3 linked regions of the Caenorhabditis elegans genome follow. The protein of the gene in region 2 purifies or fractionates together with the protein of the main gene of each other region. This does not show direct contact. Each region holds a gene or a part of one and is shown on either strand. Other genes may lie near its edges. The genes, in order: byn-1, tag-151 and riok-2.

Region 1 (10,380 bases), on a different chromosome or scaffold from region 2:
TCTTAAAGGCGCACATTTGTTTGTATTTTACAAAATTAATCGCGTCGAGACTAGGTATCGTATTTTCGGCGCAAAACTCCCAAAACTTCGCGTCTGTGTAATAATAAATTACCGATAGGCTTGTCGACTCTCATCAGTTGAAGATATGGCTTCAAATTTGGCGGAGAAGAAGCAACAAGGCTACTTGCAGTTGGTATCAGTGACATTGGTTGTTTTGTACTAAAATTATAACAATTAAAATTAAAATTTTCGAATTCTGAACCTAGTGGAAATCCATCTTTTTGTTGATTCATCTAAACTATATGAAGTGCTTGTATTTGATCCAACAATGCAATTAATCGAATTGGATCTTCTAGCGATACCTATTGACCTGGTTATCATTTTTTTTTGACGAATCTGAAAACTTTCTCTCGTCAAAGACATGATAACATGAATTTGAAAAAACAAGCATTAAGTTAGGGACGAAAACCTTTGCTCTTTGAAACTAATACTTTGTATTTAGAAAATCAACAACAATTTCATTTGAATGAGGAAGAGAGTAACATAACCAACAATGATGAATAAAAAACAAAGAAATGAACAATTTTTGGGGAGGGGCGCGGGGAAACGAACAATAATGGAAATAGAAGAAAAGAGCAAAGCCTACGTGCAGAATAGAGTGAAAGCGGGAAATATTTCTCTTCTGCGTCTCTTTCTGTTTGTGTGTGATTTAGAATTCCATACTATCCGTCTTTCGGCCTTCGACCACAACTGAAGTGATAACATGTCCGTCTTCGGTTTCCTTGGATTCGAGCTCACGGCGAATTTCAGGCGAGATGAGATAGTGTCCATGGAACTATAAATTGAAATTGGTTAAAAACAATGGAAACATTGAACTCATGGGACCATAAAACTTCGGAAATTACCTGACTTAAACTTTATAATTATGAAAAAAAAATTTACGTGACCAATGATGTGAACCCATACGCCAGGAAAAAAATTAAAAAAAAGAAGAAAACACGCATAAGATCGATCAGAAGTGAAATTTTAATCATTTCGATAATCGTAGAAATTAATTCTACACTCTTTTCACATAATTGGCGCAATGGAGATCAATGAGCAACCATTCTTTCACGGACTTCTTCCACGAGAAGAAGTAAAGGTAATTTGAGAGTAATATTTATTTAAAAGGAGCACCGACTTTTTCAGCTTTTACTTCAAAAAAATGGCGATTATCTGATGAGAACGTCAGAGCCTCAAGGACAAGCACGTCATTTGATCATTTCGGTGATGCAGAACGAGACAAGTCAAGAAGTTGCTCATTATGTGATTCGTACAAGCGACGGAGCATATTCAATCACTGATAAAATTAAATTTGGAACATTGACTGAGTTAGTAAATCATCACAAACAGGCTAAAATTAGTGAGGTACGAGCGATTCATGCACATTATAGACTAATTATTGTTGTTCAGGAAGTTGCAAGCAGTGTTCTAGTGAATCCTATCGGTAGACAATCATGGGAACTGAATCACGCCGATATTACAATGACAAAAGTTCTTGGTGAAGGTGCTTTCGGAGAAGTAAAGCTTGGGACGCTGAAAATGGGATCGACTACAGTAGATGTCGCTATAAAAGTTGTGAGTTGGACTAGACTTTTATATAAAAAGTAATGACGAAACTTCAGGCAAAACTTGAAAAAGTGACTAAAGAACAAATCAAGGAGATCATCACAGAAGCACGTCTGATGCGCGGATTCGATCACAAGAACGTTGTAAAATGTTACGGCGTGGCTGCAATCGATGAACCATTGCTAGTAGTCATGGAGTTAGTTCCTGGTGGTGCTCTGGATAAATATCTTCAGAAGAATTCATCGGTACAATGGCCTGAGAAACTGGATATAATCGCACAAGTGGCAGCTGGTCTGGCATACATTCACAGCAAAAACATTATACACAGGGACATTGCGGCCAGAAACATACTCTATGGAAAAGGCGTTGTATGTTATAAATAATTTAAAAGTTAATAACTAATAACGTTCAGGCTAAAGTCTCTGACTTCGGTTTATCTCGAGTTGGAACGGAGTATCAGATGGATCCGAGCAAAAGAGTTCCAATCAGATGGCTCTCACCAGAAACGATCGTTTCCTTCCTTTATACTCCACAAACTGATGTGTTTGCTTTCTCGATTCTCTGCTGGGAGGTGATCGAGAATGGAGCTCAGCCGTATCCGGAGATGTTGGTGGTGCAGGTACATCAGAAGGTTGGACGCGATGATTACCGTATGCCGATTAGTCAAAAGGCTCCAGCTATGCTTGCCGATGTTATTGTAAGTTCTATTTCATTCCACTATTTTCATAGCAATGTGGAATTTTCCAGAAAAAGTGCTGGATTCGCGATCCTCAACAGCGCCCCACTATGAGCCAAGTTGTCCAGATGATGTACGAAATCACAGGAAAGAAAGATAAAACCTCGGTCAACAAGTCGACAGGACAGCTCCGTGCAAAAATGATGTCTACTGGACCAATGTCAGATCCGATGAGAGATAAAACTGCTAAAAAGACTGGAAGACGTAACAAGAAGAAACCGTCAAGCGCATCGAACGGTCCAGGTGGCAACTCTGGGCCTAGTTCGGGTCCATTGTCTGGTAAGGATTCGAGACTGAAGAAGCCATGAAAATAACTCTCCTAACTAGATGTTCTCGTGATAATAAAACTCGAAGTTTTAATAGTTTTTAAAAATTAAACTTACTCTGATCAGCTCATAAATAGCTGCCTTCTGCTCGGCATTCAAATCGTTCTTGTATCGCTGGCACAGTGCCAAAAGACACTGATGCCACAAAACTGGCATATCTCGTTCATCGGTTTTCAGACGAATGAAGTGATTAACGACTCCGTCGACTGCACGATACGGTAAAGCATACTTCTTATCAATGAGAGCTCGAAGAAACACGGAATTAGCTCCAGTGTATTCCATTTCGGCAATCTGAAATATCAACAGGTTTTTGATGAGATATTTTAAAACAAAAGTTACCCTAAGCATAGCAGCAGCGGAATGAAAAATTGGAATCGGGACTTTGGTGAGGACAGAGCTGAAGATAACAGCTTCACGAAGTGTACATGTTCCAGACTGAGAAAAAAAGAATATACATGAAAAATATTTAAGTTAAACTCACTTCTAATAATGGAAGAATCAATCCTTTGAAGAAAGCGGCAGGCTTGTAGATAGCTTTGCAGAGGGCTTGATACAGATGATAGTTAAGTTTCTTGAATTCATCAATGTCGTCACGAAGACGTGGGAGAAGAACAAGAGTGTAGAATCTGAATCAAACGGTTTTAGAGCTGATATATCTAAAATCGGCATTTAAATACCTCTGACACATTTTTGGGTTCATGTTCGACGCAAACAATCTTGTGGCTTGATACATAGCAGCAGCCGTCCAAGTTTCAGGCTTTGTGAGGCTGAATATGTTTTATTTTATTCAAATCCGATACTAACAGACAACTAACAAAAGAATTTGCTCCCAGTTAATCATTTTTGGAATGATTTTGAATGCTTTTGGGACTTTTCCACTGCGATATTTTGACATATACTGTCCAATCTGCTCATACATCTCAACTACTTCTGGGTCCATGTCACGCATCTGTAAACATTTTGTTATGCTTCAAGGCTCGATGCTTAAAAATTACATTAAACTCATTCGGATCAACTTGGCTGAGTGCAAGCTCTGCATCATTCTGTTTAGCTTCAATTTTGGCTTGAATAATATCGTAGAGTGTGGACATTTGGATAGCATCTTTTTTGAGGAATCTAGCCAAATCAGCTTCATCTCGAGGATCGAGTTCCTATAAATGGAGTTTAACATTATTATCACGAAGCTAAATAGATTTTACTTACAACAACTTGATCTTCAAATCCATTGTCGTCTTCTTCTTCATTATCATCATCATCATCGTCCGATTTGTCGCCGGATGCATCAGCTCCAAGCCAAGCTCCGCGTTGTCTGTAACAGAAATACTTGCATTGAATTATGATAAATTGTTTATTTACCTTTTTGGAACACTAGATGTGGCTGATTCGGTTTCTTGTCTTTCCAGTGCCTCTTCGAGAAGCTGCTTACGAGCTTCATTCAAGATTTTTGATGAGAGCGAATCAGGAACGAACTGAAACTAATTTTATGAACTCTCTGGTCAATGAAAATAATATTTAATTTTCCCTGAATATTTACTGACCTCGTCTGTCTGCGAGTCTTCCCTTTTTCTCTTCTGCTTTTCGCGAAGCTCATCTCGTTGCTTTGCAACTTTACCAGCTTCCAACTGGTTATCCAGTGGAGCATTGGCTGATAATTTGTCACCCCTTCCTTTCAAATTCCTTTTCACCATGTTACTGGAAATTCATAATTAAAAATTAGCAGAATTACGGTGTTCAATATATTCTGAAAGGATCAGAAGCCTGTTCATAAGATTTAAAATGAATGTAACATACGCAATTTCATTATTTTCCAGAAAAAGAGAACGCCAGACAAAAACATTTTGTCAAACAAAACCAAGGTGGCTCTATAACTTTTAGGGGGCAATACTAAACTCTAAATTGAAAGAGAATTAGAATGTTTGAACCAAGTTGGATGGGATAGGGCCAGTACTAAAAAGGGGTGATTAAAAAGATGAAATCACGCATAAAATAAAAATGTGGGACGGTGGGGGTGGAGGAGAAAACAGATAACATGGATAAATATGAGGAAACAAGAGGAAGGGAAAAGCGTGTGGAACAATCGTGGAGGGGATCGGAATTGGATTAAAATTTAGATGAGGTCAGCGATTGATTCTGGCATCTCTTCGATTTGAGTGGTGTAGTAGCTTTCAATTTCCTTGAGCTGACGAGCATCGTTCTCGGTGACGAAGTTGATGGCAACTCCCTTACGACCGAAACGTCCAGAACGTCCGATACGATGGATGTAGTTCTCACGATTGGATGGGAGATCATAGTTGATAACAAGTGAGACCTAAAATATATACATTCCATAGTATTGAATTATAAACACAAATATTTATACTTACCTGTTGTACGTCAATACCACGAGCCAAGATGTCTGTGGTGATGAGAACACGGGAAGATCCTGAACGGAACTCTCGCATAATTGTATCACGCTCAGCTTGATCCATGTCTCCGTGGAGGCAAGAGACTGTGAACTGATTTTCAGTCATTTTCTCGGTGAGTGTGTCGACCTTCCTGCGAGTGTTACAGAAGATGACGGCTTGAGTAACATTGACAACGTTGTAGAGATCACAGAGGCAGTCAAACTTCCACTCCTGAAAAAATGGTTCATGAAAACAATTTCTTAGACTGGGCGAGTAAACTTACATCCTTTTGAACGTTGATGTAGAACTGTCTGATACCTTCAAGGGTGAGCTCGTCCTTCTTGACAAGAATGCGGATTGGATTGCGCATGAAACGATTAGTGACATCAAGAACTTCAGATGGCATAGTAGCCGAAAGAAGGACTACTTGAACGTCTTGTGGCATGGAACGGAAAACCTCGTAGATCTGATCCTTGAAACCTCTAGAAAGCATTTCGTCGGCCTCGTCGAGAACGAACATCTTAATTCTGGATGTGTCAAGAGCATTTCTATTGATCATGTCTCCAACACGTCCTGGAGTTCCGACAACGACGTGAATTCCGGCTTCGAGTTTTCGTTGATCGTCGCGAACACTGGTTCCACCGATACATGGAAGAATGTTAACGTTGAGGTACTCTCCGAGGGCGCTCATGACCTTTTGGATCTACAAAGAAAGATTTTGAAAAGTTTTCTTTAAAAGTATCTGCTAATAATCTATAACTAAAATACACTGAGTGAGAAAGTTTACCTGTTGAGCCAATTCTCTGGTTGGGGCCATAACGAGAGCTTGCACGTGTGGATCCTCGTGGTCGATTCTCTGAAGAATAGAGACCGAGAAAGTTGCAGTCTTTCCAGTTCCAGATTGGGCTTGAGCGATGACGTCCTTTCCAGTGGTGCATGGAACAATTGCGCGCTTTTGAATAGCAGATGGCTTTTCGAAACCGAATCCGTAGATTCCGCGAAGAAGCTCCTCCTTGAGCTCCATGTCGTCGAAAGATTCGACGACTTGATCATAGTTTCCCTAAAATTGAATGTATTCAAATTATAATAAATTATGTACATTAACTAACCTCGATCAAGCCGTCGGCATCGACCACCGAAGATACGTTCACATCATTTTTAACATCGGTCATGACAGGTGGGTTGAAAAGTTAAAAATTAACTTTTGGAAGTGCGATTGAGTTTCTGAAATTGAAGTAAAATGAAATTTCGAAAGTATTTCAGCATTAAATACAAAGATAAGGGTGTTGAAATAGTTCTTCAATAATAATAATTGCGAAATACAGTATCTCAATCCTAAAATTTTCGAATAAACCCATCCAAAAGAAATGAAAGAAAAGTTTCGACCTAAAAACCTTTGTTTTTTTGAGAAAAAGCATTTGAAATAAATATATTCTTAACACGAAAAGCATAAAAAACGTTTAAAAAAGCTTTAAAATCTAAAAAGAGGCTAAGAAACCGCCCCAAAACCGGGCCAAATCATTCGAACAAGAGTGACGGGTCTCGAAGCGAAGAGAGTGTTCATTAGAGCGCACATTCATACCATCAATTTTTTTTGAAGAAAAATGGCTCTTTTTTATTTGACCAATTCAATTCTTTATAATTTTTATGTACATTTGGTTATACACATTTTTGAATTCATTTTTAAAATAATTTTAATGATATAGATTCAAAATCTATACTTTTTCCGTTTTTTGAATGCAACCTGCGTAAAAAAAAGACGAGTAATCACTAACACTGACGACAGTGACATGCACTTAAAAGTGGTTCGAAATTTAAAAAATTAATTTGGATTTTTGAAGCCAAAGTAAATAATAAGGAAAGTTAGAAGGCTGAGTGTGTATGAGGTCCTCATAAAGAAAGTGAGAAATGTTGGTTGAACGATGAGAGAGCACAGCGAGCAGACTGGTCAATTTAGGCAAATGAGCGCGACGAATGAGAGTAAGAGCCGTAGAGAGCACAGCGTGCGGTGTTCCAGACGCGATGAATAAGAGAGAAACGAGAAGAACACCATCTGCTCTTCAAAAACACCTGTTGACACCGAATTAGGGGCTTGGTTAAATGCCAAAAACTGCATTGTTCGTGGATTAGGAAGAAATTGACCTATGTAGACTGTTTTGTATTGTGAACAAGAATAAATATTAAATACAGAGAAGAAAAGGTATCTGAAATCAAATAAAAAAAAGAGATCAAATTCATTGTCATGTTCACAGGCCATAAAAATCCTGAATTTTGCGGAAGGCTGTTCTCCCTCATTTCCCTCCTCCTCACTCAACCCTCACACATATTGACATAAATCTCGAAAGACGGAATCCGCGCGGACACAACGCGCGTTGGAAACATTACACTCATTTTCACTGCTGCTTCCTCTCTGTTCGTTATTGATTTTTCGCCATTTAAAATATTCAAATTCTCCTTTCTTGTGCACACACCATAAACACATACAATTTTCAGAAATCATGAGCTCATACCCATCCAGTGGTCGCCGGCGACCTATCACCCGATCAGAAGCCGAAGAAAGAGCATTAGACAAAATTTCCAGAGAGGTATCTTAACAATTTGAAAAATTCGAATTAAAAACTAAAAGTTTTAGGCGGAAGCTCGAATGAAATTGAAACGAGAAACACGAGAACAAGCCCGACAAGGAAGATATCAGTTGTTAGAAAAAAAAGTTGAAGAAGATGCGGAAGCTTATCGTCATGATACTGCTGTAAGTCGATTATTAACGAGAATGCACGTTTGACGTTGAAGTTTTACTCTCGAAACTACGTTTTTCATTTTCAGTAACCCTTCGTTTTTAATATTAATAAATTTTCGTTGAAAAAGTTCAAAAAGTATCCTGATTTCCATAAATTATTCTTGATTTCTTTTAAAGAAAAACTACATGTTCGTTATTGATTTTTCACGCAAAATTAAGATGCCCTAAAATAAAGTTTCTTAAATGTTTTTATAATCAAAAAATCTTGCGAAATTAATTATCCTAGAAAATCAAAAATAAATTTCGCTATTTTTCGTCCAAAATACGGTACTCTTTCTCGACACGACAAATTAGTGTTAAATAAAAAAAAGGACCGCTCCTTTAAAGAGTACTGTAATTTCATATTCGAAAAAACAAGGAAAAAAAATCGTTGAAAATACCATAGTAACGAAAGTTTCATATTACAGTACTTTTAAAAGGTGCATACCTTTTTTATTTAACAAAGCATTGTCGTGTCAGGACCTAGTACCGTATTATTTGCGCAAACTTTCGCGACTGGGTAATATAAACACCGAAATTCCTGGAGATCCAAAAAATGTTAGTTCGTAGAGTTCGAGTTCACTACTGCCGTATTAAAAAAAATCTAAGTTTTTAAATTAATGTCTAACTATTCTCGTGTTACTTTATATTTTAACCCCAATTAACATAAATTTTCCTTTTGAGAAACTGTTTGTTGTTAATTGCAGTCAACATCTAACACGAATGGAGTGTCATCCCAATCTAATCAGACACAGGAACAGTTGCATGTGAGTGATCTAAATTGTTTTTAACAATATATAAATTCATAATTCACAGGATAAAGTGATCGAGCTCCAAGATCGTGTTCAACAAGTCATGTTTCTATATTCTCAACTGGATAATGAGAAATCAACGTTACTTTATGAGGTGTTTTATTCGAAAGTATTTATGAAAAAATCTTAATTTCCAGGTTGATCTTCTGAAAGATGAACTTGAAGAGAAGGATGCATCCTTGAATTTATCATCTCGAGAATGTCGTGATCTTACGAGTGAAGTTAAAGCTTTAAAACGGACCATCGACGCGTTACACGCTTCTCAACAGCAGCTGAAACAAGAAATTTCACAGCGAGATCAGCTTATACAGGTGGGCGTATAATTGTTAAAACCAGCAAAAGATAAAATCGATTTTAAAAAAACCTGAGAAGCTAGGAAAGTCCTTTGTTCTGATTTCAAGAGACTCTTTAAAATATACTTAATATTGCAAAGCAAAATTTAAATTGGGGTTTTACTCGTATTGCTCTGTAAGTAATTATTTCAGGAAAATGGTCTATGTCTTGTCGAAGAAGATCCGGATGATGAAGGATCCGAATCAACGAATAACGCTTCTGGAGAAATGTAAGTTTTTTTTTTGCATGAAACTGGTTTTAGTAATTTCTGAAACTAAAATAAAAATTTCGGGCCAAAAAATTAAATTTATAAAAAACCAAAAAAAAAAGACCAAACCGATTAGAAACCATTAAAAACCACATTTTTCTAAAAAAATTTTTTTTGCAATATATGAAAATTTTTCGTCAAAAAAGCATTCAAAAAAAGTCTAGAACTGATTGAAAAAGATAGAGTCACTTTTCCAAATATATTTAGAATACTCTGTAAATTTTCTTTCAAGTTTTCGAGAAAAAAATTGAATGCGTATATTGAAACTGACTGTAAATGCTAACAGTTTCTTTAATATATATGATGTTAGGTTTTTAGTATTATAGAAGTCACTTTGAACAATTTCCCCACTAAAAACCGTTATTTCGCCTTTAAATAATACCTTGTTAGAAGGAAAAAGCCAAATTCTAAAATATGAACAATTTTTCGTAACTGTGATGTGCCACGCGTTGACTTCATGTTTGACTTTTTCAAATATCTTAGTGATTGGTGATATTATAACTAAGAGTATTCCGATGGTCCCTTGGACTTTCAAAACTTTTCAACATTTTTTCTTCTAAATTCGTCATCATTGCATTGTTTGATTAGGAAGGAGACGGCCATGAAAAAGGGAAAAATGCGATGAAGTTGTTGTCCGTATGTCTTTTTCGTTCATTAAGCTTAATCAAATGTCTTCATCCTCTTCTTTTTTTCCCCTATCATCATCATTGCCGCCTTCTTCTGAAAATGTTGATGTCTCGAAAATCTTGGAGAATAAAATAAAATTATTCCAAAGAATGCGCGATGTGCAGCAAAAAAGTCATCGTTGAGAAGAACAAACACTAGAAACATTGAACCATTGAAATATTGATGAATCACGCGGCGCGGGAGGCTTCTAAATATAGATACGGCTTTCTTCAAAAATGAGAAGATGCAAAGAGGTCAACATTTTGTTTGACGTGAGAAGTTTTGATCTTAGTTCTTTCGGGATTTAATTGATCTCAGAAAATTAGTTTGAAACGGAAATAAAATCACCGAAATTAAAAAACCTTAAAGTTTGGTTTAAAACTAATCTCTGCTGTAGTAAATATTTTTTTTATGAAGACACAACGCTTTTCTTCCAATTCATGTTTTTCATTCTTGAAATTGGAATTTTTT
Region 2 (9,652 bases):
CTGTAATAAGACATATTTTGAATTTATTTTAAAATAAAAAGTGAGATGAGTTTACCAAAAATGCGGTGCAAGCAAAAAAGGCAGACCAGTAGATTGTTGGATCGCAGTAATGACGTTCGAACATTCCCTCGTTGAAGTGAACGAATGCTTTCGAGCCATACACCCAAACGCAGCCTGTAATATTATTTTTCTGAATTTCAGAAATACCACAAAAAAACTAAAGAATTCGAGCAACATTATTAACCTAAAAAATCGCAATTTTGCTCCAAAATTAGATCTTCAAACCGACCAATCAGCGATTAGCTTCGCCCACTTTTCCACCAATTAGAAGGAGAGGGCAGAGTTGGAAGAAGCTGATTTGTTTAAAAATGAGTGTAGCTTCTCGTTTTGGAGGTAATTCATTCAAACTGATCGAAAATTCGCGTTTTCAAACAGATGGATTATCTCCCAAGTTTTGGAGCAAAATTTCTGGAGCATTGTCGGTAACTCACCCAAAATCAGCCAAACAATATTGGCAAGTGCGAAGAGAATTTCCAACCCTTTGCACAATAAGCTTGCTCCGAGCTGTCTCTGTTGTCTGCGATAGGCTGTTCTCCTAGGCGTTGGAATCAGGAAATATATACGAAATGTCGCAGAAATTATAAAGAGCACTCCTTCGACTATCAACCATATTGGGATCATTGGTTGAATTGCACAGAATGGAGCGTTTAGAAGACCAAATATAATTAGTAGAAATGCGAGAAGACTGAAACAGCTCAGAACCGCTATACTGATTTCTGAAATTTTTTGGATTAGAATTCCAAAGTCAAAAGTAGAGAAAAAAAACTTACGATACGGAATTTTCTCATTGATATAATCACTCAAATTCTTTGCAAACTCTACAGTATCCCCAGACTGCGAATAGACATCTGAAAGCTTATCGTGTTTCCGTCGTGATTCACTCGAATCTGCTTGAGAATGTGTCGTTGGCATATAGACTGATGGTTGTAGATGCCCATTCGTCTGAAATCGCACGGGACGGTCTTGAGGCGGGAGAAGGGGTCTTTGAGAATTTGCGGAACTTCGGTTTGATGTGTTAACACGGAGGGGTGTGGAGCCGGATGAGTTGTAGCTTTGAGAGCCCCTGGAATTTATGTTTTGGAGGGTTTTCTCTACATATTTTGAAAATTGAAACTAACCTAGGAAAAGGATTATTCGGTGGATGTTGTGACATTGAGCTTGACGGTAAAATTGGTGTTTCTACTTTTGATACTGGAGTTGATCTGGAAAATGTATATTATTTGCAAATTTTTGAGCATTTTTTATCGGGAAAAATTCTATAAAGATAATTTTGCTCGAAAATCTACGGACTAATTATGGAATTGCTCACAAAATTTAGACAAGTAATTTAAAGATTTTTTCCAAATTGAAATTGGTTTCGTAGGTTTAACATATTTTTGGCATCCATCAGATATCTTCCAAAAACTGAGAAAACATTACATTTCAGTTTTTGCTTGAAATTTTTAAAAGTTTTTCTTATAAGTAAACATTTCTTGTACGTCCCTGAAACCCGTGACTCACCCTGAACTGCTCATATCAACTCGAAGCTTCTGCGTTCCTGGAGACGGAGTGTGTCGCATTTCGCCGAATGCTCCCATCCTTTCGGATGTTGCCATAGAATTTCGTTGGGAATACTGAAAAGTTTCGGTTATATGACATTCGAATTTGTTTATTTTGAGAGTGTCACTGGAAAAATTTGATTTGAAAATTTTCAGTGCATGTTTTTTTTTAATTCTTCAGAGGCTCGATTGCTCAAAAATTGTTTTTGCATAGTTTTGAAAATGGTTTCAAAGATGATAATAGTAAGGGTAGGGAAAGTTTCTTGGAACGTTGAAGAATTTTTTTAATTTGTTGAAAAAAAAAAAAACAAAACACTTCCAAAAGATCAACTGAAAAACATTTTTTAAACACTCCAAAAGAACATATTTTGGGCAATTATTTATACCACTAAACTAGAAAAAAAGCACTGAAAAATGATTCAGATCGAACATTTTGGGGTTGAAGCTTTCAAGATAATACTACTTGCTTAAAAATCAATACACGCTATAATAATTATTATTCTACCGCAAAACAAAATGAGCGGTGAAGGAGAGAGGGTGAGGAGATAGGAAACTGTGTAGTTATATGGTTTGATGGGTTTCCTTCTTCTTCTACTCGTTTCGCACCAAAAAGTCAGTCGACCATGTTGTTTGTGTATGTGCAAACAAATACCGTCAAACGAATATGCTTACCCCTGCGGGAAACGATGTTTCATTCTGTGAGATTAGAGATCCGAAGGACGTCGTTGTCATTCTGGAAATGTTTGGAATTACAACACAGACACAAAGAATGAGAAAAGTTTCAAAACGAAGTGACGGAAATTATTTCTAGCTTCGATGTGTAACTGTGTATGCCAAGAGCAAATAATGTTGTCTCGTTGTGTCTGCAGCACACACTATCTCTAATTTCAATTGTCACACGCTCATACGTGTGGCGAAATAGAAATAGACCAGTGAAATTGAAATAGAGGTGAAGGTGACAAAAATAATCAGGAAAAACGTTTTTCTCCCGAAAAAATTAAACTTGAGGACCGTCCGACCTTTTCAGCTAGCAGCGAAAAGCCACCATAAAGAAAAGAAAATAAACAAAAACTGTGAAATCGATTCAGTCGTGGAATAAATAAACAACACAATGATTCACAGGCGGCATCAGAAACGGAAGAAATGGAGGAGGGTGGTCTGGAAAAGCGGGGGGAGTCTCGGGTGGCAAAGTGCGGTAGAATAGATAGGAAAGGTTATGTAAACGTATACCTAAAATATAGCTGCTTGGTGGTGGTGGACTACTTGAAAGCTATGAAGAATGGGAATTTGTAAGGGAATATGTCGTGCAAAAAAAATAAAGAGAAGCCCAGATTTGGGCGGGGCTTGCTCGGAAATGTTTACTATTACATGCTAACTGATACGATTGTTTGATAATTTTTCCAAATCGAAAAATAAAATTTGAATAATTTGTTGAGCTATCACACTTTTAATTATCTTTTAAATAATTATTACCCGTTCGCCAGAAAGTCCGATTTTCACCCCAAATCACTGCCTCGGGTCCTGACACGAACGAAACTTCCCACATTTAAGGTACATCCTGGGTATGGTAGCTAAGACGTTTTCCTCGTGCCAAGACCCGCCGAGGTAGGGATTTTGAGTTTAAAAAATTGTATTTTTTTCACGAACAGTTATCTATGAGACAAAATTTTTTTAAAGAATTAAAAAATCCAGAACTAGAAAAAATATTTTTTGAATAAAAAATCAAAGCTCAGCTTGAAATAGGTGTACGCCTAAAGTCTTGAACCAAAGCCTAAACCTAATGCAAGACTTAAGGGGCCTAAGAGTGAAGGCACTAGTTTGAAGGCGTAAGCCTAAGCTTAAACCTGAGCCTAAGCCTATGCCTAACCCAAAGCCTAAGCCTGAGCCTAAGCCTATACCTATGCCTATGCCTACGCCTAGCTTCTGCTATTCAACAGAAAAGTCTCCCAACTCCTGTTTAGAGCACTTTGAGTGTTTGTTTGCATTTGAAAAACCATGTCGAACACTTTGACTTTTCAATGAACTTCCGAGTTCATTGAACACTATTTGTGGACTTTTTTTGTAGATTTCACTACACAATCTGTACTAAAATACAGTTTTTTCTTCAGTTCCAACCGTGCATCGTCGAACCATTGGCGTGGAAACCTCGGCGAATCCTCAAGCCACCAACCAATTTCGATGAGCTTTTTGGCCGATATTTCCATAGAGAATGCAACAAGTGCTCATCGGTATGAGATATCTGTCGAATTTTTTAAAAATTCCCAAATAATTCAGGTCCCATCTTACCCAGTCATGTGCCTTTTCTGTGGAGAAATTCTTTGCCTGAACGATTGTTGCCGAATGGCCCATCAAGAGTCGGGAAGTGATCGGGTGATCAGTATGTCGGAGATTGAGGCGGTAAGATTTGAATGGAAATGCGCTCTACGGTCAATTGAAAACGCTCCGCCTCCAAAGGTTGGGTCTCGTTAGGGTTGCAACGAAATTGCAACGTTTTCAATCATTTTCGTTTTTTTTTTCAAGTTATGTAAATTTCGACAATTTTTTTCGATTAAAAACATTGAAAACATTTGAATTTACGGTTTTCCCGCCAAATACCTAGCGAGACCCAACCCTTGGGGGCGGAGCGTTTTCACACAGATTTTTCTGCGTCCTTATATTTTTAAAACTGTTTTCCCTATTTCCAGCATGCCGAAGACTGTTCCTCATCGTCGGGTCTCTTCCTTTCCGTGACGTCATCAATGGTTGTAGTGTCACGTGGCAAACAGGCGGCCATATGGGGTACGATCTACCTGGATGCTCACAAGGAAGAGGATCGGAATCTGAAACGTGGAAAGCCGTTATTCCTGTGCGAATCGCGGCTCAAATGGCTCGAGTACGATTGGGCTGAGCAGGAATGGCAGCGGGTTCCACAATGGTTCAATATGACGAATTCACAAGCATTTACCAGTAATATTCGGGATTGTCACTTGTTTCAACGCTAGAGCTATAGAATTGTTGTGGAAAATTATTAGATGACAAAAAATTGTAAAAACTCAACTGGCTATTTAGATTCTCTAGCTGTACATGTTTTTGTTTTCTTTTCGATAAATAAACATTTTGAATTTTATGTCTCGAAACTTTAACAAAACAAGAACATGGGAGCACTGAAAAGAACGGGAAAAAGTTAACAAAAACAAGAAGAAGAAGCGATTGGAGCTGGGGAAAAAACAACAAGATAATATGAGTTAACAGAAAATTTGAAGAACACAACAAATAACATTGGAATCTATTCCTCCATAGCATCCTCATTGACAAGACTGATGCTTTCGACTCGAGAACGTTCAACGAAGCGAGATGGGTTCAGGGAGCGGTTCTGTAAAAGTTAAAAGATTACAAATAGGGTTTTTTAATTAGAAATATTCCAAATTTGCCCCTTGTTCCGAAATTTTTTTTAATTCATGCTGAATTCAGTTTTCGATTTTCAGAACTTTTTAGTTTTTGTTTAAATTCCGACAAAACTGAAGGAAACTCGTTGAAAAACTGAAATCAGAATAAAATAAAGATTTAAAAAATCTCGTAAATCAAAACTGCTGTGAAAATTCGGTGTTTGAAAAAACCTTGGACGACTTCAAGTTGAGATAAAAACTTTTGAAATTTTTAACATAGATGTTCGGAATCCAGGGCAAGTTTGGAGTAATTTTTTTTTTTTAATTTCCAGAATTTTTACGTACAAAAATAGAATAGTTCCAGACGGGGAAGACCCGTTTGTAGAGATTAAGCATCACAGAATCTTGGGCATTCAATTGCTGATCGAATCGGCATTTCATGTTTCCATGAGTTCCAACGGCTTCCTTAATATGACCACGACGTCCGGATGGTGTGTACAATTCGACTGGTTTGAACCATTCAATGTCTTCTGGAAAGTGGGAAAAATGAAATTTTGAAACTTTGAATTGAAATTGCCGAACCTCTATTAAAGAACATGTATCTGACAACAACGGCGCGTCGATTAATTTTGTATGGATGACCGGCGAGAACAGTTCTTTTGAGCACAATTCGGTCAGGATTGCTGTCGAGAATCGATCCAGTGGCAACAAGTTCCTGAAACGTTTTTCTTTTAATTTTTGATGTTGTTCCAACATTTTTCATTTATAATTAATGTCAAAGTATGGTAAATCACTAGATTTTTTAAGAAAATGTTCAAAAATGTCATGAAACTTGGCAAAGCCAAAGCTCGAAAATGCGAAAATCGGCAATTGACAACTTTTAGGCAATTTTCGAACATTTTCTCAAATTTTTTAGCTAAAATAAATGTTATTCTCAGAAAAAACAAGTGATTATCTATAATTTTAGGATAATTTTAGATGAGAACAACTTCGTGCAAATAATTTCATTTTGAACCGCATTCTATTCTTACCTGCCTTCCCTTATCGTCCTGTCTAAAGCACAGCACCGTTGCCGGATTGAAAGTGATCGGCGCGTAGACTGTCGCCACAAATGTCTTCTCAGTCGGCATAAATCGTTCCAACTTGAACTTATCGCCAGGTGTATTCGATGAGAAAACGGCGTTCGCCTCGAATTGCCGGAATCCAACATAGAAAATGAACTTTTGATTCTGATCCGAAGTGATTGGAATTGTGCAAGATGGATGTTTCTTCAAAACCATATTGAGAACAGACATTTTATGCTCGTGAGGCAGCAACTGGAAGAGCACCAAGTTTTTGGCGTCTTTGTAAGCTTCTAGGACGGCGACTGGAACATTCTCGATGAAAACACTTGCAAATGCTCCATTGAACTTCTTATCGGCTACTGAATCTGCATCTACATCATTTCCACCAATCTTTGACATCACATTCTTCTTGGTGTTTCTATAATTTGCAAATTGGAAAATTCTCGCATAATCCAGTGGAAGATTCTCTTTCGGGTCCCAGGTAGACGTTCGGAAACTTTTGAGTCCGCGGTATTTTTGGAAAGCAATTCGAGCTGGCATATCCATCGGTGTATCCACCTCATCTGGCCATTGAGCATTTTCACGCTCTTTTCGGTATTTTTCAACTTCTGCCATATTGATGTCTTCATCAATTCCATCATCAAACATCATTTCAGATGCAGTAGTTTCACCGGCTTCTGATTTCAAATCATCCATAGGCTCTTCTTCTTCAGAATCATCCTCTACTTCTTCATTATCACTATCATCCATATCCTCATCGGAATCTTCTTCGTCTTCGTCATCCTCGTCATCCAAAATCCATGCTGCTTGATAAGACGAAGTTCCTTTTGGCACACGACGGAGCTCCTTATCAGCTTCTTCAAGTTCTTCCCGAGTTGGCCATGTTTGTTCTCCGTCCATAGAATCTGGTGTGATCTCCGTTTCTGTGTTCTGGCGTTTATCATCAGATTTGGCAATTATCTGAGCTTCTGGCGTTTTGTTGTGTGCTTTTAATGGATGAGGATCGACTGTTGATTCGATTTTTGAGATTTGAAAATCACCGAATCCTGGAAGATGAACCAAATTGTTAGCATTCCATTCAGGACCTCTGAGATATCCCTGGGCGACGAGTGTGCAAGTTTCTCCAGTTTTGTCCGAGCATTCCAAGTTTTCAACAAGCATATAAGAATGTCTGGCTTGAAGAGTCAATGGCTTCTTTTTAGTTTCATTCAAGATTCGCAAAAGTTGAAGGTTATCTGTGACAGAATCAGCTGGCATAACTCCAGCATTACTCATACTCCATTTTGAAATGATAAATTCGATTCCTTTTCTAACATCTTCCTTCTTCTTGTGATTTGCAATACTCCCAAGTCCTGGAACAACACTAACAATTGTTGGAAGTCCATTTGCTTTGATAATCGTTAAAAGTTGCTCATCCCATTCGGAGAGCTCTGCAGACATTGGCCACAGAAAACAAAGCACATCAGATGCTCGAATCGCATCAAGAACACCATCAACATTATCCTTATCTGGAGTAAGGAATGATACACGAGATTTGAAGCGAGGAATCGCAAAGTCAATGGTGGATGGAGAAGTCGTTTGAATAATTGTTTCGTCACATGTTGCCAGCTTTTTGATGAACTCTGTTGGGCGAGCTCCAACTCCGAGAGAAACGACAGTCTGAAAATTGTCGTTTTAATACTAATTTCCAAGTTGAAAAAACCCTACCACTAGACACGGAGCATTTGATGTTCTGCGTCTCTCCATTGCATCCGCCATTTTTTGATCTCTCGCCATTTTGAGCTGATTACGTCGAGCATCTTTGGAGATGGTACGGTGGGTGGAATGAGCAGAACGCGTGAGCTGTTTGACACCTTCTCGTCCTGAAATTCGAAATAAATTTAAATAAGTGTTTAATAGGGAAAAAATCCCTGTGAAGCTATTTGAAGGACTTTTAAAATCGGTAATTACCTCGATTTTCAGATGTAATCTCTCCTTTCGTCCGTTTTCCTTTCCAAGACTTGTGGGGCTTTGAAGGTTTCTTGAACACTCCCGCACGATGGCCAGTTGTACTCATCTGGTAAATAATTGTTTCTTTATTTAAATTTCCTTTACTTTAGAATACTTAGATAAATCATAATTAAGTACCTGGAATAATAACCAACACCAACTGACAAAAAAACCTGAATACTTTGAAACTACAAGGCAATAAATTATTCATTCCATGCAGATTACAACAGTGAATTTTTTAAACCGGAAAACAATAAATTAGAGCAATAAATATATATAAATAAATACTCTTCAGAATATGTACTCGAAAAACCCAACAAAATTGTGGTGCAAAAAGGGAAAAGGGGGGGGGGGGGGGGAGAAGAAGTCGAACCCGGTGGAAAGTAGGAAAAACGAAAAGATACGTAATTGAACAAGAAACAAGAGAAACCACCACCGGGGGCGATCTCTGAATAACTAGAATCGGGTACAATACATCACAGTTACACTCATTAATAAAAAAGAATATGTGTTGTGAGGATAAAACTTTTCTGGTTGGGGGAGGGGCAGGGCAGGGTTCGAATTGAATAAAATACTGAGTAGACATTTAGATATCATTTCCGGTGAAATCTCCGTACTCCCAAATGTTCTTTCTCGACTTGCGAGCAACTTCTTCGGTAGTGTTGTAGTCATTGACAAGAGTCTGCAGGCGTGGCTCACGGCGGTGATCAGCAAGAGCGAGTCCCTCAGCAATAAGAGATTTACCGATGTCGACCTTCTTGTTTCCACTGTCGTAATAAACCTGAAACAATTTTTTGTAATATTTTGAACATTAAAAAGAAATTAAAACTTACAGTTACATATTCTGAAGTTCCGACCTTGTACTCACTGTTAATGAATACCGAAGAGTGACCAAACAAGTACTGGGCGAAAGCATCAGAAGTGAGTTGGACGTAATCCTCGTTTGGAAGCTTAGCAAGAGCAAGGTTATATTCTCTAACTCCAGCTGGGAAATTGGCAAATCCTGCTGGAATTTGAGCAAGCTTGACAGCCTCAATTGTCTCACGATTTCCGTAATCAATGTAAACAATCTCTGCTTGCCCAGCACGAACGCTCTCGACCTTGCAACGGTACCATTGTCCATCCTGAGAGAACTTGGCAACGCACAAATCTCCACGCTTGGTGGTATAAGATCCAGCGAGTGGTGGATGTTCGGCAAGAGCTTGTCTCATCTCGGTTGTCATCTTTTCAATTTTTGGCCCATCTTCAATGTTTTGAGCCGAGAAACGAAGAGCTCCTGGAGCAATATCAGTAACAGCGACTTGACGGAAGTTCTGCTTTCTCTCAGATGTATCTGCCTGTTGTACTTCAACTTCCTCTTGGTGTTGCTCTTCCGTGAAGTTGGCCCAAATGTTCTTCTTAGCTTTCTTAGCTTTGTTTTCGGCGGAAAGAAGAGCGTTGTAATGCCCACTTCGCTCAGCTGTGAAGTGAAGAGAAGCAAGTCCATTCTCTACAAGAGCTTCGCTTAGATTGATTGCTCGTGAAGTATTTCCATCTGGAGACACATACAAGTATCCAACAAAGTTTCCATTCTTATCGGTGCTCTCTACTTCTAGTTGAACCTCGTGTTGGAGGACAAGCTTTCGGGTGAATGCAG
Region 3 (11,624 bases), on a different chromosome or scaffold from region 2:
TTCGTTTAAAAAAATTAATTTCAAGCTATATTTTTATTTTCCTCGAAATTTTTTTTCTAAATTCTAATTTCTCGTGGATTTTGAATTTTTTCGATTAAAAAACTGAAAAAAAATTAAAATTATCAGAATGTGTAAAAAAATTTTTTAAAGCTATACTGGCAAAACGCGGTATTTTGAAAAAAGATTTTTTAAAAAAATTTCAAAAAAAAAAAAAAGCAAATGAAATTTCTCGACCATCGATTTTTTTTAATCGGAAAAATTTTGATTTTTCCCAAAAAAAATTAATTAAAAGCAATTTTTCTTGCAATTTTTCTCTCTATGGAATTTTAAAAAATCTACGGTTTCTCGTGGTTTTTGCATTTTTTTTTCGATTAAAAAATTGTGAAAAAATTTGGTCATTTCAAATATTTTGTAGGACAAAACCTTGACGGTCATAATACACCGAAAATTAGAAAAAAAAACTACAATTTTGAAGCAATACATGTATATTTTTAAAATAATGTATATTTGTTTTAAAAAAATTAATAACGAATTTAAAGCAGATCACAGTGTAATTAGGAATAGCAGAGCAAAAAAAAAACAATTAGACATTCAAAAATTTCAATTTTTTTTTTCAAAAAAATTGTAAAAATCCAAATTATTCCGATTTATATTTCTCAATTCCAGCAGGGCTCATGACACAAATATGTCCGAGATCTCGGAATTTCTGATTATAATCCAATCCGTAGCCAACAATAAATTTGTCAGGAATCTCAAAAGCCACGAAATCCTCTGGAACATCCACGACACGTTTGACACGTTTCGACAGGAGAAGGGCGGTCCAGGTCTTCTCAACGCCCGTCTCATGTAAAGTTGAGAGAAGTTTTGCAAGAGTTCTTCCGGTATCCGAAATATCATCCACAACGAGCACACTTTTCCCCTTGAGCTCATCCAAATTCGATAGTCCCATTATTTGAATTTGTCCAGTACTCATTTGATCCTCGTAACTCTTTACTCGAATAAAATCGACAGTCATTGGTTCAGGACACGATGAGCGAGCATTTGTGAGCTCTTCGACGAGGGCAGTGAAGAATTTATAGGATCCTTTGAGTACGCAGAGCAGCGCGATTGGTTTGTTTCCGATTTCAGCGTGGATGTCTGAGAAAATTATATGATTTCTGATTTTTTACTAAATCACTGCAACTTTTTCCTCACGAGGGACGAGGAAAAGTGGTTTCTAGGCCATGGCCGAGGGGCCGACAAGTTTCAGCGGCCATTTATCTTGCTTTGTTTTCCGCCTGTTTTCTTTTGTTTTTCACAGCTTTTTCCCGTTTTTTCTTATTAAAACTGATAAATAAATATTTTTTGCAGATGCTAAAACAATTTCCAAGTAAAAAAAATCATGTATTCAGTGGGCAAGCAGCGGTGAAAGTGGGCATTGTAATATGATGGATTACGGGAATACAAAACCTAAACTTTTCCCCAAACATGATACATATGCTGCTTAAATGCTGAGACTACCTGATTTCCATAATGAGACGTCTGAAAAAGTATTGAGATTTTCAAAATTCAACTTTTTGTGCGAAAATCTCGACCTTTTCACCAAAAAAGTTGAATTTTGGAAACCTCAAAACTTTTTCAGCGGTCTCGTTATGAAAATCAGGTAGTCTCAGCATTTAAGCATCATATGTATCATGTTTCAGAAAAAGTTTAGGTTTTGTATTTCCGTAATCCATCATTTTACATTGACCACTTTCACCGCTGCTTGCCCACTGAATACATAATTTTTTTACTTGGAATTTGTTTTAGCATCTGCAAAAAGTATTTATTTATCAGTTTTAATAAGAAAAAACGAAAAAAATCGATGAAAAACGAAAGAAAACAGGCGGAAAACAAAGCAAGATAAATGGCCGCTGAAACTTATCGGCCCCTCGGCCATGGCCTAGAAACCACTTTTCCTCGTCCCTCGTGAGGAAAAAGTTACAGTGTAAATCGAAAAACGAAAATTTTCCGGTATTTCTAATTTTTTCAGATTTTTCTAAAATTAGCTTAAAAGTTTGATGACTAGGTTTTTTTTCTTCAATATAAACAAAATTAGAAAAAAAAAAAATAGAATTTTCTGATCAATTTTCCAGCAAATATAAAAATCGAAAATTTTTAGAAGTTTTTTCAAAAAAAAAAAAAAAATTTTGGCAGTTTTTAGAAGAAAAATTTTTAAAGAAATTAAAGAAATAATATTGAAGCAGAAAGTCTTGTTTCTGAAAATAATTGTTTTTATTCGAAACTTTTCCGTCATCGCATTTCTTCAATTTCTTCAAAAAAAAATGTATCAACGAAAAATTGTCCATTTTCGGATTTTCCGTAAAAAAAACTTCTAAAATAGGAAAATTTTTTTAGTTTCCGAAAAATCTGAACAAAAATCGAAAAATCGAAAAAAAAAATTAATCATAAAATTCGATTTTCTAATCTAATTTTGTTTATATTGTTAAAAAACATGAGAAAAATTAAAAATGTCTTCTAAAAAGAACAATTAGAACACAAAATTTCAAGGTAATTTTAGAAAAATCGAAAAATAATTCGAAATTTCGGAAAATCGAAAAAATTCCGTTGACACTTTTTTAGAGGAAAATTTGAAATTTTTCTGTATTTTTTGAAATCCTTCAATCCAAGCTCCCTTATACTTGAAAATGGAAGAGCTGGAATCCTCTTCCACGGCCCTGTGTGTCGATTTACGCAGCCCTCGTGTACTCTTCGAGGAGGAGAAGACGATTTTACAATTGTCACGTAAATCGACACATGGCCGTGGAAGAGGTTTCCATCTCTTCCATTTTCAAATTTGAGGGAGCTAGAAGTCCGTTGTAGGGCTATTAGAGAGAAATTTTTAAATTTTAACTGTTTTTACCTTTAGCCAGACGACGAACACGATCTCTAACAAGACCTTCCGGAATCACGACACCGGATAAATCACCGTCATAGCAGATTGGAATGTCGAATGCGTCGACTGGGAGCTGCAAAAATTAAATATTAATTTAAAATTTTACAATTTCGCCATAATTTTGCAAGAAACGACGTTTAAAAATAAATGAAATTGCACATTTTTAGCCCAAAAATCAATTAGACTACAAACTACAAATCTTTCTAGCCTCAACCATGTTGAAAATGTTCGAAATTTCACAAAATACTTGAAAAAGTTGAAAATTTTTGACTGAAGATTGCAGATTTTAACTATTTTAGAACAAAAATATGGATAATATTGTTCTTTTTAATTGTTGAAAACTAGTTTTTCTGGGCAAAATTTTGGAAAAAAAAACGTAATTTTTAATGAATTTCTGCTGATATGAGGAGAAACGGTTGCAAAATTGTGAGTTTTTAGCTGAAATGGATAGAAATCGAGAATTTTTTGTTAAAAAAAATGTCAAAAATTAACTGAAAATCACGTTTTCGGTCAATTTTTGGTTCACACTACAAACTACAACTTTTTCTAGCCTCAACTAACTTTGATGAAGCTGAAAACTCTTGTAGTTTGTAGCCTGAGAGCCTCACCAAAAAAACTTAAATTAGCGAAAATTCAAAATTTATGGATATTTAAGCATTTTTCTTGAATTTTTTTTTTGTCTCCAGCTGCTAAATTATAAACTTCCTGCAGTTTTTTTATTTCAGTTAAAATTCAAAAATCTGAATCAAAAAATTGCTGGAAAAGTGAAAAGTTGGTTGAGGCGTCAGATCACAAACTACAATGTTTCCCAGCCTCAACCAACTTTGGTGAGGCTGAACATCATTGTAGTTTGTAGTCTGAGAACCTCACAAAAAACTAAAAAACTGTTTAAATTCAAATTTTATAGAATTTTAAGCCTGTTTCTTGGATTTTTTTTCGTTTCCAGCTGCTAAATGTGAAAATTGCTCTCGAAATCGTGGCAATTTTCATTCGAAATTCAAAAATCTGAATCACAAAAATTGATGGAACCACCGTTTGTTGCGGTGTCACACTACAAACTACAATGTTTCCTAGCCTCAACCAACTTTGGTGAGGCTAAAACTCGTCGTAGTTTGTAGCCTAGGAGCCTCACCAAAAACTAAAAAAAAACCTGTTTAAATTAAAATTTTTTGATTTTTTTTTTGTTTTCAGCTACTAAAGCTTGGAAATTTCATGCACATTTGGCAATTTTCATTCGAAATTTTTTAAAAATCCTGAATCAAAATTGTTTGAAAAAATTTCTGGAAAAGTTGGTTGAGGCGTCAGACCACAAACTACAATGTTTCCTAGCCTCAACCAACTTTGGCGAGGCTAAAACATCGTTGTAGTTTGTAGCCTAGGAGCCTCACCAAAAACTAAAAAAACTGTTTAAATTCAAATTTAATGAAAATTTAAGCACTTTTCTTGAATTTTTTTGTTTCTAGCTGCTAAATGTGGATATTTTTCTCGAAATCGTGAAAATTTTAATTCAAAATTCAAAAATCTGAATCACACAAACCTCAAAATCATCAGGAATGACAGCACGAGTTGGAGCCATTTTCGAAAATGAAGAACTATTTTTCTGAAAAAAAGAAAAGTGTGTGAATGGTTATTTAAAAGAGACAATATTATCTTATCAATCAAAAAAAAAAAGAAGATTGATCAGATTATCTTATCAGTTGAAATAGACGGCGCGACGATGAAAGTTACGAACGTGTCAACGATAAATGTTGCATTTTAATCGAAAAAAAACGCATCATTTCGTTTATATTGAAGGGGAGAAGTTAACAGAACAAAAAACATATAACAATGGTAATAATAACAGGTGAAAAAGAATAGAAAAAACGAATTTTCCGGGAAAAACGAGAACAATTATTAAATCATCAAATCCATCCAGCGTACTCGGCAATCACATCTTTATTGTCTTTTCGGTTACGGCCCACTGCGCTTTGCTTTCCTTTGACCTTCAGTCGAATCTGGAATTTTTGGATAAATTTTAGAAATTTTTGTGGTATATTGATTTATACTGAAGGTTGGAAGGATTTCAGAATTTTTTTAAAAGAGTTTTACGAGTTTGGAAGGAAAATATTAATAAATTACAGTAAAGTAGAAATTAAATACTTTTTTATTAATTTTTGAGATTTTTGTGAATTTTTTTTTTTGTAAAAAAACGTATTTTCCAAAAAATTTAAGGATTTCACAGTAAAAAAAACTAATTTTTAATGTAATGATCAGTCGAAAATTTCAAGAAATTCCAAAAAAAAAAGATAATTGAAAATTTTTGCAAAGTTTCACACAGAAAATTTTAAAAAAACGAATTTCAGACAAAAACTGGCCACGCCCACAAAATGGACGATACCGAAAGAATTCCTATATAATTTTTTGCAATGTTTCAGATACAGAAATTTCGAGAAAAAATATTGTCAGACAAAAACTGACTCCGCCCATAAAATTGTCGGTTTTCTAAAAATTTGAAATTAAATATATGATGACTTATTCCAAATTTTAAGTACGTTTCTATGAACAATATTTCAAAATCAGCAAACTAAATTCTTTTTAAAGCAACATTTTTTTAGAATGACAATGAAACACAAAATTCAAAAAAAAAAGCGAATTTAGGACAAAACCTAGCCATGCCCACCACAAAATGGATGCTCAAACGTGCAATTTTCAAAAAAATATAAAATAATTACTATGATGCCGCGTAAGTGATTATTTTTCAGAATTTTTTCAGAATTCGCTTTAAAAAAAAAGGAATTTTAGACGAAAACTGGCTCCGCCCACAAAATGGTCGGTTTTCTAAAAATTTTAAATTAAATTTTTTTCTATGAACAATATTTCAAAATCAGCAAAACTAAATTTTTTTTAAAGCAACATTTTTTTAGAATGACAATGAAACACAAAATTCAAAAAAAAAAGTGAATTTCGGACAAAAACTGGCCACGTCCACAAAATGGATGCTCAAATGTGCAAAAATTCAAAATTGCACATTTGAGCAAAAGTTTGAACAACTCCGCCCATTCTGAAATTTCGAAAAAAATTTTCACAACAAAAACAGTCTTCGCTTATAAAATGGCACTTTTGGTACAAAAATGACCAGATTTATACCGTTTATACCGTTTATTATTTTTTGAGTTTTTTTGAGAAAAAAAGTTTTTTGTTTTTTTTTAAAGTTTTTAATGAAATTTTTAATCGAAATTTTCAAAAAATTCAAAAAAAATTTGATAATTGAAAATTTTTGCAAAGTTTAACACAAAAAATAAAAATATATATTTTCAGACAAAAACAGGCTCCGCCCATAAAATGGATAAAATTTCCACGATTCTACGTGGCTGAACATTTTTTTGTTGCAATGTTTCAGGTACAAAAATTTCGAGAAAAAAAATTTGAGGCCCCACGAAAAGGGGATCTGCGAAAAGGGGAGCTGGCACTGTGCCAAACGCACAAAACGCTTTTTTATTCTCATTCAACGCACGACTTTTTTTTGTATTTTACGCTAAACAACGCGCGCGATGCGTAATAACGGAGTGTGGTTATAACAAAGTCGTGCGTTGAATGAGAATAAAAAAAGCGTTTTGTGCGTTTGGCACAGTCACTGCAACTTTTTCCTCACGAGGGACGAGGAAAAGTGGTTTCTAGGCCATGGCCGAGGGGCCGACAAGTTTCAGCGGCCATTTATCTTGCTTTGTTTTCCGCCTGTTTTCTTTTGTTTTTCAAAGCTTTTTCCCGTTTTTTCTTATTTAAGCTGATAAATAAATACTTTTTGCAGATGTTAAAACAATTTCCAAGTAAAAAAATTATGTATTCAGTGGGCAAGCAGCGGTGAAAGTGGGCATTGTAATATGATGGATTACGGGAATACAAAACCTAAACTTTTTCTGAAAAATGATACATATGATGCTTAGATGCTGAAATTACCTGACTTTCATAACGAGACCGCTAAAAAAGTTTTGAGGTTTTCAAAATTCAACTTTTTGTGCGAAAATCTCGACTTTTTCACCAAAAAAGTTGAATTTTGAAAACCTCAAAACTTTTTCAGCGGTCTCGTTATGAAAATCAGGTAGTCTCAGCATTTAAGCAGCATATGTATCATGTTTCAGAAAAAGTTTAGGTTTTGTATTCCCGTAATCCATCATATTGCATTGCCCACTTTCACCGCTGCTTGCCCACTGAATACATAATTTTTTTACTTGGAAATTGTTTTAGCATCTGCAAAAAGTATTTATTCATCAGTTTTAATAAGAAAAAACGGGAAAAAGCTTTGAAAAACAAAAGAAAACAGGCGAAAAACAAAGCAAGATAGAAGGCCGCTGAAACTTGTCGGCCCCTCGGCCATGGCCTAGAAACCACTTTTCCTCGTCCCTCGTGAGGAAAAAGTTGCAGTGACAGTGCCAGCTCCCCTTTTCGTATCTCCCCTTTTCACAGATCCCCTTTTTGCAGATCCCTTTTTTGGTCTGCTCCCCTTTTCGTGGGGCCTCAAAAATTTCAGACAAAAACTGGTGCCATTTTTTTTCTCGATTTTCGGTACAAAAATGAGACCTTTTCCTTATTCCTCTTTCTATCCAAAGCCAGTCGCCTCTTAACATCTTCAGCCGTAAACGTGGCAGCACTACTGGCAACACTTCTGGCTCCACTTGGCACTCTCTTCTTTTTCACAACTTTTGCCACCTGCTCCTCAACTGCCACGTGGCCATCCGCGTCCTCTTCCTCCCCCTCCTCCTCATCTTCATCATTTTCATCGTCATTTTCAGAATCGGCTGGACGCTTAAAATCCTCCGGCGGCAACTCAATATCCTTATAACCTTCCTCCGATTTCAGAGCATCAAGATCCACGGCTTCCAGTTGATTTGTGGCGTCTGAGAGCCAATCTGTGAAGCGTGTCGTCTGGGAGAGCACGATTTTCTGCTGTTTGACGGTGTTCTCCTGAGCCTGGAGCTCTTCGTGGTCTTTTTCGAGATCCTCAGGCTCTTCCTGAATGTCTTCCATAGATTTAGAGTCATCGGAATCATCTTCATCTTCCCCCAAATCCTCCTCCTGCCGATTCCTCAATTCCTGCTCACAATGTGCCAAAAAATCGCCTTCATCGTACGCTTTATTCAAATCCAACGCCATTTTCTTGGTGAATCCCGACGCTTCGAGCAGTACATCCATATTCCCTTTCCGTTCAACTTCATCAAATTTCGGCCAATCCTCGCTTTCATAGTCGAATTTTCGTTTAAAAAACGTCCGAACACATGTGACATCTCGATCGAAATAATATTCCGCATTCGGATGATCAATTGATACCATTTGTGGAAAATCAATCATCACAATTCGCTCGTCTTCCAGCATAATTAGGTTGAATTCATTGAAATCTCCATGAATAACTCCGTGCCGAGCCATTTTCACGATAAGAGCCATAAGTCTGTCGTAGAGGGCGCCAGCGTCTTCCACGTGGGTCACATTGCAGAGAGTTTGACCAACAACTAACTGCATAACGACTAAATGTCGACATACATCCACAGCTTTTGGTACAGGAAATCCCCGCTCTTGAAGAGCTTTCAAAAAAGCAAATTCCTTCGCAGCGGCCAGACGACTCAAATAAAGCCACGAGGCGCTCTTTCTCTTCTTGTGATAATCACGTTTCTCTTTGATTTTCCTGAACGACGTGCGACCCAATCTATGGAATTTCAGACAAAGATCGTTGAGCTCCGGGTCACCACCGACGTACACATCCGACTCTTTTCCGATTCCGATTTGATTTCCGACACTTCCGACGACTTCACGGGAGCACAGGGCTCGAAGGGCGAGGTAGTCGTAGCCACGGATTGTGAGACGGTAGCCATCAACTGAAAATATTATTTATTTTGATGGAAATAAATGGAAATTGTTAAAATCCAGCTGATTTCGCGTTGGTTGAGGCTAAAAAAACTCAAAATTGTAGTTTGTAGTCTCTGCGCCTCAACCAAAAGCTTTGTAATCTAAACTTTAAATTGAGATAATGCCTACATTAGTTGGAAAACGCACAAGAATTACTGGAAATTTATCAAAATCCAGCTGATTTCGCATTGAGAGAGGCTCATGGACTACAAACTACAACTCAAATTTCAAATTTTAGCCTCACCAGTGTGTGGTTGAGGCCAGAAAACTTGTAGTTTGTAGTCTCTGAGCCTCAACCAAACACCTATTCTTCTAAAAAAAAAGCAATTCTTGAAGTTTCAACAGGATTTTTCGCTTTTGTAAAACTAAATACCACGATTTTCACGGAAAACCAACAGAAAACATGTTCTAAAACTATAAACTACATTTTTCAGCCTCAACCACGAGTTTTAGTTATGGTTGAGGCTAGAAAATGTGTAGTTTGTAGTCTCTGAGCCTCAACCAAACGCCTATTCTTTAAAAATGCAATTTTTGAAGTTTTATCTGGATTTTCGCTTTTTTTTTAAACTAAATACCACGATTTTCTCGAAAAACCATCAGAAAACATGTTCTAAAACTATAAATTTAATACATTTTTCCGTCTCAACCACGAGTTTTCGGTATGGTTGAGGCTCAAAAGGTTGTAGTTTGTAGTCTCTGAGCCTCAACCAAAACTTTTTATCACTCAAAACTGGAATTTTCAGCCGTTTTTTGCAGGAATTTCCTCCTTACATTTCTTGCTTCTCTCAAAAGCGACCAACGAGTGCTTGCACAAGTCATTAAGCGTCCTGGCGACACCTCCTCTATGAATTCCAGCAATTGCTGACACAAGAGCCAACGGAACGACCTCGTGATTCTTCATGCCCATCTCGACGGCGATCAGTACCCGGAAGTGATCACCTTCCAGGTATCGCATCATCGAAACGTTCATTCGACCCATCTGGAATATAGATTTTGAAAACTTGAATTAAAATTTACAAATTAGGAAAAAATAAAGCGGAAAAACAATTTTTATCGATAATATTGTGTTAATAAATCAATTTAAATTAGGAGTCCACTGGAAAACCACTTAAAAATTGCGAAATTCACGAAAAATCCATGTTTAGCCTAAATTTTCCAGTTTTCCGATTTTTCAGACCGAATTTAACATTAAAATTGTTAATTTTTACTGAAATTCAATTAATTAACCATAAAAAATGATGAAAAACTTCGAAAAATGAGCTGAAAACATGAAAAATCCTCGAAAGAAAAAGGAAAAACAGAATTGGCTAAGCCCCGCCCACAAAAGTGTGCCAGGCTTGCAACGGATTTTTGGTGAACGCTGAAATTTTTGCATTTTCGGCGAATTTTCAGCGAATTTTTGGATTTTTTCTACAAATAGGAGTTGTTAATTATATTTGAATATTTTTCAACAAAATAAGTCACAAAAAATAAAGGAAATTGCACTTTTCCAACGAAAATCTAGTTTGACGCCCCGCCCACAAAACCGTGCCAGGCTTGCGAATTCATCGTAGACTCTCTCAATTCTTTTCTATTTTTTTCATGTAGAAATTCCTGAATTTAACCATCCAAATTCGTTCGAAAAAACCCAAAAAAAAACCAAATCGAAGAGCTTCATATACACAAAAATCGATGGCATACGATAGGAAATAAATGAACGCGCGCTGGTGGTGAACGGAAAAAAGGTACAGAGGAGAAGCCGGTGAAAAAGGGTGAATCTGTGGTGAGGGCGGTTGAAATAATGGAAAACATATCACCGGGGGGGGGGGGGATTTGTGAGGGGGAACTGTCGCCGATGAAGCGGTATATGCAAAAAAGGCGAAACACACACACAAATTGTTGAGGCGGTTGCAAAATTGAAAAAATGGTTTAAGAGGTGGATAAAACGAATGAGAGACGACGACGGAGAATGAGAGTGAGAAAATCACAGCGAATTTTTCGAGAAAGAGTTCAGAATTGGGGGATTTAGAGGAGAGAGAAGTATGACTAGAAAGTATCTATGAAAAAGAGCGGATTTTGAAAAAGAATTAGCTGCTAAACACGAGGTTTCTTGACCGGCGGTGACGAGTTATCGTTCGATTTCACCATCTTTTCCAGCAAGTTGCTCGCCAAAACCGGCTCATCGCTGATGAAGTTGCGCCATGACGTCAGAGCCATTACATGTTGACGATTGTGGATTGCCTGGAAATATTTTAATTATTAAATGGAACAAAATCGTTGTAGTTAGTAGTTTGAGCCTATTTTTCTGTCAAAATGTCAATTTTTCTCCATTTTCAGCTGGAAAATCAGATCAGAAAAAAAGCATTTCACAATAATGGTTGAGGCTAGAATAGACTGTAGTTTGTAGTGTAAGCCTCTACCAACTGTGTTTTATAAGCATTTGGGTGAGGCTGAGAGACTACAAACTACAATTCGATTAGCCTCAACCATGGAATTTCGAAGTATTGTTAGGCTAAAACATTGTAGTTTGTAGTCTAAGCCTCAACCAACATTGCGAATTACAAGTTTGGTGAGGCTGAAAAAAGGTAGTTTGTAGTGTAAGCCTCAACCAACAAGAAATAAGCAAATTTTGGGAGTTTTCCGTTTAAAACTTACAAAATCAACGCAAGCATCATACAAAACATCAGTATTATATCGTTCCGCATGTGTAATACACTCGAGCACATTATTCACATTGAGCCGGTCCAACAAATGCTGCTCACAGGTCATTTTCAGCGCCAAAATCTGATATTTTTCGGCGATTTGCATCACATCGACCGCCTGATAAACGTCGATATCCGATTTGATGACTCCA

What was found.
Region 1: the proteins of tag-151 (region 2) and byn-1 fractionate together in Caenorhabditis elegans (co-fractionation; one large-scale study listed by BioGRID). This does not show direct contact.
Region 3: the proteins of tag-151 (region 2) and riok-2 fractionate together in Caenorhabditis elegans (co-fractionation; one large-scale study listed by BioGRID). This does not show direct contact.

Annotation. Positions count from the first base shown.
Region 1 is NC_003281.10:6,925,983-6,936,362, reverse strand, and holds byn-1 (Cell adhesion protein byn-1), read right to left. Parts: upstream 4,363-10,380; 5' UTR 4,359-4,362; coding exon 4,209-4,358; intron 4,140-4,208; coding exon 4,027-4,139; intron 3,980-4,026; coding exon 3,874-3,979; intron 3,822-3,873; coding exon 3,666-3,821; intron 3,620-3,665; coding exon 3,486-3,619; intron 3,438-3,485; coding exon 3,348-3,437; intron 3,297-3,347; coding exon 3,152-3,296; intron 3,106-3,151; coding exon 3,010-3,105; intron 2,962-3,009; coding exon 2,728-2,961; intron 2,703-2,727; exon of another isoform or gene 2,653-2,702; coding exon of another isoform or gene 2,356-2,652; intron 2,306-2,355; coding exon of another isoform or gene 2,021-2,305; intron 1,977-2,020; coding exon of another isoform or gene 1,665-1,976; intron 1,618-1,664; coding exon of another isoform or gene 1,453-1,617; intron 1,408-1,452; coding exon of another isoform or gene 1,189-1,407; intron 1,142-1,188; coding exon of another isoform or gene 1,085-1,141; exon of another isoform or gene 1,044-1,084; intron 836-1,043; coding exon 710-835; 3' UTR 501-709; downstream 1-500. Other genes in the region: coq-2 (4-hydroxybenzoate polyprenyltransferase, mitochondrial), read right to left, coding at 113-219, 263-381; F57B9.8 (Tyrosine-protein kinase), read left to right, coding at 1,085-1,141, 1,189-1,407, 1,453-1,617, 1,665-1,976, 2,021-2,305, 2,356-2,652; inf-1 (Eukaryotic initiation factor 4A), read right to left, coding at 4,778-4,978, 5,034-5,285, 5,338-5,757, 5,842-6,114, 6,164-6,226; flap-1 (Leucine-rich repeat flightless-interacting protein 2), read left to right, coding at 7,553-7,639, 7,687-7,803, 8,538-8,597, 8,647-8,736, 8,780-8,953, 9,128-9,204.
Region 2 is NC_003280.10:4,708,725-4,718,376, reverse strand, and holds tag-151 (Pre-rRNA-processing protein TSR1 homolog), read right to left. Parts: upstream 8,101-9,652; 5' UTR 8,084-8,100; coding exon 7,978-8,083; intron 7,890-7,977; coding exon 7,735-7,889; intron 7,687-7,734; coding exon 5,995-7,686; intron 5,679-5,994; coding exon 5,546-5,678; intron 5,494-5,545; coding exon 5,309-5,493; intron 4,951-5,308; coding exon 4,864-4,950; 3' UTR 4,687-4,863; downstream 1-4,686. Other genes in the region: F41C3.8 (MARVEL domain-containing protein), read right to left, coding at 56-174, 492-776, 831-1,123, 1,179-1,262, 1,561-1,673, 2,271-2,330; F10G7.10 (E3 ubiquitin-protein ligase), read left to right, coding at 3,707-3,826, 3,873-3,995, 4,283-4,579; tsn-1 (Staphylococcal nuclease domain-containing protein 1), read right to left, coding at 8,603-8,797, 8,850-9,652. UniProt on the Caenorhabditis elegans protein: Required during maturation of the 40S ribosomal subunit in the nucleolus.
Region 3 is NC_003279.8:14,650,262-14,661,885, reverse strand, and holds riok-2 (Serine/threonine-protein kinase RIO2), read right to left. Parts: upstream 9,771-11,624; coding exon 9,563-9,770; intron 8,761-9,562; coding exon 7,472-8,760; intron 4,909-7,471; coding exon 4,816-4,908; 3' UTR 4,687-4,815; downstream 1-4,686. Other genes in the region: hprt-1 (Hypoxanthine phosphoribosyltransferase), read right to left, coding at 638-1,137, 2,882-2,987, 4,452-4,490; bath-40 (BTB and MATH domain-containing protein 40), read right to left, coding at 10,865-11,011, 11,426-11,624. UniProt on the Caenorhabditis elegans protein: Required for larval development.